2 linked regions of the Daphnia pulex genome follow. The protein of the gene in region 1 interacts with the protein of each later gene in a pairwise test. Links are inferred from orthologs where the notes say so. Each region holds a gene or a part of one and is shown on either strand. Other genes may lie near its edges.

What was found.
Region 2: the proteins of exocyst complex component 1-like (region 1) and spectrin alpha chain-like interact in a two-hybrid assay, tested with the Homo sapiens proteins (2 studies listed by BioGRID and IntAct). The link is inferred for Daphnia pulex from reciprocal best matches to the Homo sapiens genes EXOC1 and SPTAN1.

The regions. Positions count from the first base shown.
Region 1 is NC_060019.1:8,326,749-8,331,329, forward strand, and holds the start of exocyst complex component 1-like, read right to left. Parts: upstream 2,933-4,581; 5' UTR 2,747-2,932; coding exon 2,579-2,746; intron 2,510-2,578; coding exon 2,417-2,509; intron 2,318-2,416; coding exon 2,113-2,317; intron 2,053-2,112; coding exon 1,889-2,052; intron 1,827-1,888; coding exon 1,599-1,826; intron 1,537-1,598; coding exon 1,404-1,536; intron 1,337-1,403; coding exon 1,227-1,336; intron 1,160-1,226; coding exon 892-1,159; intron 824-891; coding exon 672-823; intron 610-671; coding exon 335-609; intron 265-334; coding exon 54-264; intron 1-53. Other genes in the region: teneurin-m-like, read right to left, coding at 4,094-4,581.
Region 2 is NC_060017.1:5,642,510-5,647,179, forward strand, and holds the start of spectrin alpha chain-like, read right to left. Parts: upstream 2,934-4,670; 5' UTR 2,785-2,933; intron 2,400-2,784; 5' UTR 2,384-2,399; coding exon 1,868-2,383; intron 1,808-1,867; coding exon 1,619-1,807; intron 1,552-1,618; coding exon 1,192-1,551; intron 1,124-1,191; coding exon 956-1,123; intron 888-955; coding exon 688-887; intron 627-687; coding exon 442-626; intron 379-441; coding exon 1-378. UniProt on the Homo sapiens protein: Fodrin, which seems to be involved in secretion, interacts with calmodulin in a calcium-dependent manner and is thus candidate for the calcium-dependent movement of the cytoskeleton at the membrane.

The sequences.
Region 1 (4,581 bases):
AAAATAAATTCAAAATACAACTAACTTACAAATTTTTAATTTTGTTACTTTACCTCGAAATTAGAAATGAAAGGAAGAATCCCACATTTGGATTTCCTAGGCTGTTTTGAATCTTCAATCGAGCGAAGCTGAGTCATAAAAAACCGATCGAATGCTCGCTTCACGTGCACCAAAGATGAACCAAATGTAACACTGAGGAAGGAACCGGTATCGGTTGCAGACAAGACATGCTGACTAAGTCTCACGAGGACGTACAAAGGTGAGCTAGAAATAATAATAGCGATTAAAAAAAAAGCATTCCAATTTAAAAAGTACAGTATTCTAAATCACTTACAAGCTATCTACTTTCTCATAAGTAGCAAGAAAGCTCACAAGCTCCGGTTCAAGAACAGTAAACAAAACGCTCATCATTTTGCGCACTTCTTCGTTAATGGCTCGTTCTGGGGTTTTGTTACTTGTTGATGATTCATCCGCTTCATGGCCTCCTTGATCCAGTGCAAAAAATGCGACACAAAATTCTTGTTCCACTAGACATACTGGTTCAAGTTCGGCTAGTGCGCATTCAAGCAAGTCTTCTAGGCGTTTTCTTTCATGAATATCAACTTCAACCTGTAATAAACATATTTATCAATACATTTTACACATTTAAAATTTCGTATAGTATATTGTACCGTCCAAAGCTCTCTTTCATTCCCTAACAAATTTTGACTCGGCATTTGTATTGTTCCACTAGGGCTTGCCGCGGCGACATTTGTTCCTGAAGGATTTTTAATAGACAAGGAATGCCTGGTGCCCATGTCTGAACCCGAATCACTTCCACGAACTGCGGTAAACATGTTATAACCAGAAATCACTAAAGGTGGATTCAAATAAAAAATTGCTTCTCCTTACGTTTTTTCTCTCGCAATCCTATCACTTTCGAACGCGCTTCATCAAAGAACTGCCGTAGATCTCTTTCATACAATTTACATATTGATGTAGTGTATACTTCGAGTAGTTTCTCATAGCAGGCATGGTCTGTTGCTTTTAGCCAATGCATTAAGGGAGCATACATTTGTAGTTGAGAATGCAGTTTCCCGTGTTTAGCCAGTGACACTGTTGTTTGCGAAGAGTTTGAACTTCTAGAGCTTTGACTACTGGTTTCTCCAGAATCATTGCTCTAAAAAGAAAACCAAAAAATATTATTGAAGGGAAAAAAAAGCGTAAGTATAAACTGATTTTATTACTAAGTGAATGAAGAGGTTGTTGAGTTGGCGAGTAACTGTGGGTGTAAATTTTGCTCGCCATTTCTCCAACTGCCGTCGCTGATCTTGAACCGCAACCATTTTCTCAAGTCCTTAAGAGTGACGATTAGAGAAATGAGAATAGAATTATTTTATTTTGGTTTCGAAAAATGCAAGTACCTGGTTTTAGTTCAGCATTCATAGCACGTTGAAGAGATTTAGCAGCTATTATAGCGTTTTGAAGGCCTGTAGGACTATTTAAGTCTGGATTGTTCAAAGTTACTTGCTGGGAATGTGGAATATCTAAATGTGCCTGTACCACAAACACATTGATTGTAGATGCGGATAAACGAGGATTGAAAACGGCAGCCTTACGACTAAATTATTGAGTTCCATAAGTAGAAGACGATTGTTACGGTTGGCAGTTTCCAGGGACACATTCTTTTCACCTACTGTTGCCATTGCAACCCGGGCTTGGAGTAGAATGTTTTCATACTTGTCTAACTCGGTTTCAATGGATGCAGCTTCATTTTCGGCTGCTTCGAGAAGGTTCAACAATTGTATGACTTGAGCTTCAGAGCCCATCAAGCTTTGAATATTTGCCTATAGTAGAAATCAGTTCAGTTATGATATTTCAAATGATAGATTTTTATTGCATAAAATACTCCATCAAGTAAAGACAAGTCCTTAGCCAGTTGCTCCATAAACTTTTCTGCATTACTCAAGGCATTATTGGACTGAGATAATAATCGTTCCAGGTCTTTCTCTTCTCTGTCTGTAAGGGCTTGATAATCCTCCTCACCAATGCCTCCATCCATTGGACCACTGACTAGTTTGAATCAAACAGGTGAACAACTTATAAAATGCTTCACAAGTTTCAATTTGATACCTTCATGATCTAATGCTACGGATGTTTCTGGTATCACTGAATCTTCTATGATGCCTGGAGGGATATTAACAAACATTGGACTTTGTTTCGGCAAATACTTTGAACAAAGTTTCCATAAAATGGAAAACAAAAGAAGCCTTTCTTGAACATTAGATGCAGACCAAAGGTATACTTTGTCAAAATGAATGCTGAATTCAGCTGTTTCCTACAAAATAAAAAATTACAATTGTTTTAAGAAGATGACACAACTCTTTGAGGGTCTGCATGGGCAAACCAGACAAATATGAAAACAATTTCTTTATACCTTGTTGCCATCAATACCATCCACAGTTTTGAGCTCTTTCAATGGCCAGCTACTCTTCTTCTTGTAAACATTGTTTTTCTCAGTTTTCTTTACCTGTTTATTGAAAATAATGACAGAATAAAGAACATAATTTGGTGCATGGGAAAATTGAAGTAAGTATACCTTGTATATTACGGCACCGATGCCTTGATCTGCAGTAACTGCAACGCACAAAAAACAAGGAAGTGCCTTCTTTTTCTTGCCAACACTAGTCACATGAGCCAATCCAACTAATCTTTCTTCAGCAGGCGAAAATAATTCTCGCTGCAAACTGTGCCTTAGCGCAGCCATTTTATTAAACGAAGAAGTAACGAGAAAATGTCAATCAATCGTCAATCAATCGGCTAACAATTAGATTCAATAACAATAACGTTGAATCGCCAGCAGGTTGCATACACTATATTATGTCTGCTGTGTTTCGTGACAACTGACAATATTGCAGACGAAGCTGTCCCACCCACCATCTGATGGTGCTGTCCTCTAACAGTGATACGGAGAACTTATGAAGTCAAAGGGTTATTTTTTAAAAAACGCGGAAACTCGCGCGTGCAGCAAACGATCGGATTATTTATTCATAATTTTAATGGGAGGAAGGGGTGGACTATCAGACCGAGGGGCGTGTACAGCAGATCTGGTGACCATAATTATTAATCTCGAATTTTCACTGAGAACTACTCTTGAAATATAACATTATAACATTTATCTTAAACTTGATTTTCTAGATTTTCATTTGTCTCATTTGTTCATTTGTTTTCCTTAACGCTCAACGTGTCGAAAATTTCATTTTGGATATTTTAGCTCAACCGTATTTCTTAAAAAATTCACAAAAGTGTTACAGTACAACAATATGTATTTATATCAGATGCACATAATCATTCAGATTCATGAATTTTTTGTTTTGCATACCGAGATTATTATATACGATAAAGATGTGAATATTATGACACTTGACGCACACAAAAGTTAGGCCCGCCATGTTCAAATAACACACGCACATTTGAAAAAGGAGAATTTTGGCATGTAGAGTCATCAAATCGCACACTCTTCAGAAATAACATATTGCAACAAATGATGCCAATAGAGAAGAGTCCCAAATAAATCTGGCGGTGTGATGTCGACGCATCGCTTCGGTCAAGAAATATCAGAATAATATATGTACACGAAGGAATAACAGAAAAAAAACGTTACAACTCTAAACACAATTCTTAAAGTACAAAAGAAAACAGGATCCAATGTCAGTAGTGATTTCAATATATCTCTTTTACTGGTGGGTGTGTTTGTAATATATAGAAATGGACAGGGAAGGAAAGTAAAAAAAAAGATGAATAAACCATCAAATATGTCGAAGAATGTTTCTACTCGGATTCCATCTCGATATTTGATTATCACATGAGACGGTGATGACTACGCTTCATTTTTCGGCTCGAGCAGTTTTTTGTTTTTCTTTTCCTGGTGACGTAAAAATACAGCGCAAATGATTCCGTCAAAGATTACAAATTAGAATGACAGAGCACCGTAATCATAATCAGATTTTTTTGTTATTTTTGTTATTTTTTTTTTTTTACAAAGCACAATATTTTTTAGTTTCGAAGTACGATCATGGGTTTGGTGGATTAATTATAAAACCCTGTTTTTTTTTCAGTGTTGCCCCCGTCTTTGTTGGCGTGACGACAAGCGATGGCTCTTGCGCCGTTTTCGCTTGGTGTCGTCTCTCCGGAAAATAATGTTGCTGGCATCATCGGCCAATTGCGGGTAGTCGTAGATGCTGTGCAAATCCGAGCCGACAAAGCCGTCGACTCTTCCGTTGGTCATCAGCTCCACCCTTTCTTCAACGCTCCAGTCCACCTGCTGGCCGGGCAATCCGCTTTCCACCAACTGTTTCTCGCGCAGCCAAGCGACTTCAACCGCTCGCCGATGAGACGACCGGAGTATTCGCTGTCTAGCCGCTTCCACTTCGACACCGTAGCTGATGCTGACGGATAGATCCGCATTGGCCAATCGCAATTCAGACCCGCCTCCTTGTTCCGTCGGGTTTTCAACGAGCGTGATGTTGAACTGGCCACTCAAACGCTTCAAATCTTCCTGGTCGTCGCGCAATTTCGCCAGACTTTCCTTGACAAAGTAGA
Region 2 (4,670 bases), on another chromosome or scaffold:
TTTCCCACAAACGAACAATTTCTTCCAGACGAGCATGAATCCTATCAGTTGCCCAATGATTGCCTTCAATCAATTCTCGACCCACAGCATCAAGTTCTTCAATGCGACTCTTGTTTGCAGTCAATTCTTGCTCAAAAGTCTGGTGTTTCTGGACTTTGCCGTTCAAGTTAGTAGGGTCTAGGTAGCTGTCATCAGTGGCAAATTTCAGTTTCTCGTTAATCCAGCCTTTGGTTTCATCACAATCTCTTTCAAATTGCTGCAAACGGAAAGAATCCTCTAGCAATACGCGACGTTGGCTGGACTTTTCAAGCAAAGCTCCGCGGCGATCTAATAAAAGCGCACGACGCTGGGCAACGTCCTCAGCAGCATAATGTTGGCCTGTTAATGGAAAATTATAAGCAACCATGCTGATGTTATAAATTATTCAAATCTTGAAAATACCTTCGATCAGTTTTGAAGCAAATTCGTCCAAAGCTTTAATTTTCTCTTCTTGCGCCGCCAATGATTTCTCAAAGTCTTCGTGTTTCTTGATTAGCGCTTCGACAGAATCTAGAGAATCACCCAAATCTTCGTTCGACAGGAAAGCCTCTTGTTTAGCCATCCAAGTATCAGCTTGCTCCGTATCGCTTTAAATTAAAGGGAAATTGGAATAGAAGCATAAAAAAGGTATCTTTTGGTAGAGCTTACCGATAAAAAAGTTGAAGATCCATGCACTGTTCGTACAAAATCCGTCGCTCTTCCCATAAAGTCAACAAATTTTGTTTCTCGTTGGACAAGGTAATCAGCTTTTCGTTGACTTCCGACGCAGCCCAATGTTCTTTTTCTACTAAGACCTGGCCAGCGTCAGCTGTAGCTCGGAAGCTATCTTCCCTTGCATCAATTTCGCCCTACTCAAACAATTGTAAAATAAACTTGATGGCTATGCAACTTTACTGACGAACAAAATAAACCATACCCTATGTTCTTGATGACGTTCCAGCAAGGCCTCAGCGCCTGCAACATCTTTAGCTAATTCATCAGCAGCGATAATGGCTTTCATGTCATGAATCCATGAGACTAAGTCACGGAAGTCTGACAAGAAGCGGTGCAGGAAGTAAGAATCATCCAAACGACGTTTGCGTTCCTATTTATAAAAGGATCAAACTCAATATAGTAGTCATATTGAAGCAATTTGGCGCATGTTTAGATTACCTTAGCTTTACCAGTTAACCTCTCCCAATTGTTTTCAATCTCTTGATGCTTGGCTTTGATTTGATCTGCATGATCGGGATGAATGCCGCATAAACGAGCAGCTTCTTGGCCTAAAGTCATCACTTTATCTTCCAAAGCTGCTAGATCACGCTCAACACCCTCATGCTTCCGCTGCAGTGTCTGAACACTAGCTAAATCGCGACCGAAATCGTCCGATGACAATACGACATCTTTTTCGGTGATCCAGGCAACTGTTTCATCAGCATCACGATTAAAACGCTGGATTTCGTGAGCGCCAAAAAGTTTTTCTTGACGATTCAATGCCAAAAGTCTCAATCGCTGCCACGATTCTTTAAGTTCCTGTAAATAAACAGAATAAAGATTCGATTAATTTGAATTCATTAAACAAGTAAGTGATTTTAAATACCTCCTTGCGACGGTTAATAGTATCAACTTCGGGATGGCCGTCTTTGACCAAACGATCAGCAAGTTCCAAGACCTCGGTAACTCTAAATTCTTGCGCTGCCATATCTTTCTGGAATTCGTCAAATTTACGTTGCAATACTTCAACGTGCTCTAAATCTGACCCAAACTCATCAGATGAAACAAAAGCCTCCTAAAAAAGAAACATTTATCAAATCTAAATTCTTAACGAAAACTAGAGTAATGAGCGAACCTTGTCATTAATCCAGAACATAACTTCATCACACTGACGCAAAAACTGCACCAGGACGAGAGCTTGTTGCAATTTCATGCCCTTGTCAGCCAGACGGGATAGAAGCAATTCCCATAAACGATGAAGCTCTTCCAAACGTTTTTGAATTACGTCCGCTGAAAAATGGCCTTCATTTATCATTTCAAGTCCAATATTGTCAAGACTGACAATAGCATTGCTGTGTGCAGCAACCTCAGCCTCAAATGCTTGATGTTTCTGAATTTTGGCTTGAAGATTGGTAGGATCCCTGTAACTTTCATCTGAGGCAGCTTGAAGCTTCTCAAAAATCCAAGATTCCAATTCATCAGCATCTCGCTTGAAGTATTGGAAACGACGAGAGTCTTCCAACTTGTCACGCTTGGCTCTAGCATCTGATTTAAATTGAGAGTAGCGAGACAAGACTTGATCTCGTCTCTCTTGGATATCTTCAGCTGTCTCAAGAATCCTCACTTCTTTCGGAGCTATGGTCTGCTCCATGTTGCTGGTAGACTTTCTGAAATAAAAAATAATAATTACATTGTAGCACTGTCATATGTGAAAGTGATAAGAACTAGCACAAGACACTTTGGTTATCTCCACAGCTATTCAGATAAGATAAGTTTAAATCAAAAGGAAAAAAAAGCAGTACTTTTATCAATTCAAATTGTTCATATGAAATTCCTTGAGCCTTGAGAATTTAAATTAACGAACATCTTTTAAAATAACATATCCGGTTGTGGTATGGGTGGGGCAGGGAACGATCAAACAAAACGCCAGCCCGAGTAATTGTTGTTACTGTGGGCATGTAAATGCAGCTGTTTTTAGTGAAAATAGAGTTCTACAACTTCGGGATTCAATTCAGATGATACACAACTTCTTACTTATTACTTCAAACTCACCTTCAGTTAAAGTTTAGTATTCCTAATACACTTTTTTGGCGTTCCCCGGTCAAGAATAACACTGTTAGAAGCGTTCGTTCACAACTTCAACTGCAGACAACTGCTTGTAACCACACCTACAACAAAATGGCCGAAGGCTACAGAAATGAGGGGGGGAGAGAGCTGACTTGCGCAGAGATGACTTGCGTTGATTACTTCATATCCTTATCGCAAAATATGTTTAAAATGTTGGGTGATTGAAATAAAACAATGATTTTTCCATACTTATTATCAAACAGTAGAGTTCACAAGTATTTATGATTATAATTTTAAAAATGTATTTCATTTTCTCAAAAGCGCACTCTATTGGTGCATACTTGTCTGATGTGGTGGAATGCGTCAACAGCTAAAAATAAACCATGATTGTGCTTATTTTAGTACAGATTTTATGCTCGTCCGTCTTGTTTTTGACATCACTCTCATGGCGACTCTCAAACTTTGGATGTCGGCTTTAACAAGACAAAAAGTCAAATAAATTGTTTTAAATATGTTTAATTATTACTCCATATGAAAATTAATTTTAAAGAGTTGGACAGTTCACACGATACTTCGAAAATTAAATATAAAATCCACTAGGATTATTTTAGCCGGAGAAATTTCCCGACTCCATGTAAAACAAAAATCGAAGAAAAGTACACAGTGCTAGTGATACTAGCGGATAATCACAACGACGCAAACACGACTATATAGAATTAAAATATAATATGGCTTCATGACTGCATCGCTGGAATGGCGATTATTACACCCTCTATATGCCGGTCGATGCCGGGTCCCATCTTATCCCGACTTCCTACTTAAAGACACTTCCACATTAACGTCTCTTCCGGCCATTCGCCTATACCCGCCATACCATATAGTTATTAGTTAACGTCTCCGCCAGCATAAGGGAACATCATTCAAGCACTAGGCTAAATATTTTGATAAAGTTGAGGTAATTTTATTCAAAAAGAAAGTTTAATAACAACTAACAAGCAACTGCCTTTTTGAATAACTTTTACAAATTACAAATTTTTCCACAAGTATACTTTTCCATATTAGTTCTTACTGCAAAAACTTAAGTATCGTCACAGTGACGATATTTTGATCTGTGCTCTTTAGGGAACAAGCTGGATCCCAAGATCTAAATATTCCCATTGAAAATGCAAGGTCAATGACCATTTTCTGACCTTCTGTCTATGCATTCGTCAAACTAAACCTCGGAGGACGAATAGTTAGTTCTTGTCTTCTGGTTCCCAGCCTAACTTCTGGTAGGAGGCGCAAAGAGGACCTTAATATCGAAATCTTGCGGTCTTTCCTTTGACCTTAACCATACATCTTTTTCATTTGTATGACCTTGCTTTTCCCTATAAATGACTTGCGATGCACACACACATTGCCAGTCTACATTCTGTAGTTCATCGAGTAGCCAGATAAAGTAGACTACTCGATGAACAACAGAAAAGGGCCACGACAAGTAATTTCTATCTATTTGTGTATGAATAAGATGAAATTACTCGTTTCGAATGATTTTACTGATGTGGTTTTTATCCAAGTTTTAAGCTACGTTATACATAGCGTCTGGGCTACCGCATTAGAACAACAGGATTACCACGATACTTTTTTTTTTCACTGAGAGAGGAAGTATCGTTGTAATTTTAAATCATGTTCTTTTTTTAAATTCAAATCCATCAGCTATAGTTCAAATTTTAAAAGGATATGGAAAAAGTCTTTCAACTTCCCGTACGATCAAACCCGATTCGGTAATGAAAAAATGGCACAGAGACATAACTAGTCCTATAAGAAGTAATCTGGACATATTAAGCGCCATAGTTTGGCAAATAGGTGAACATTCGACCTTTTTCTGTCTG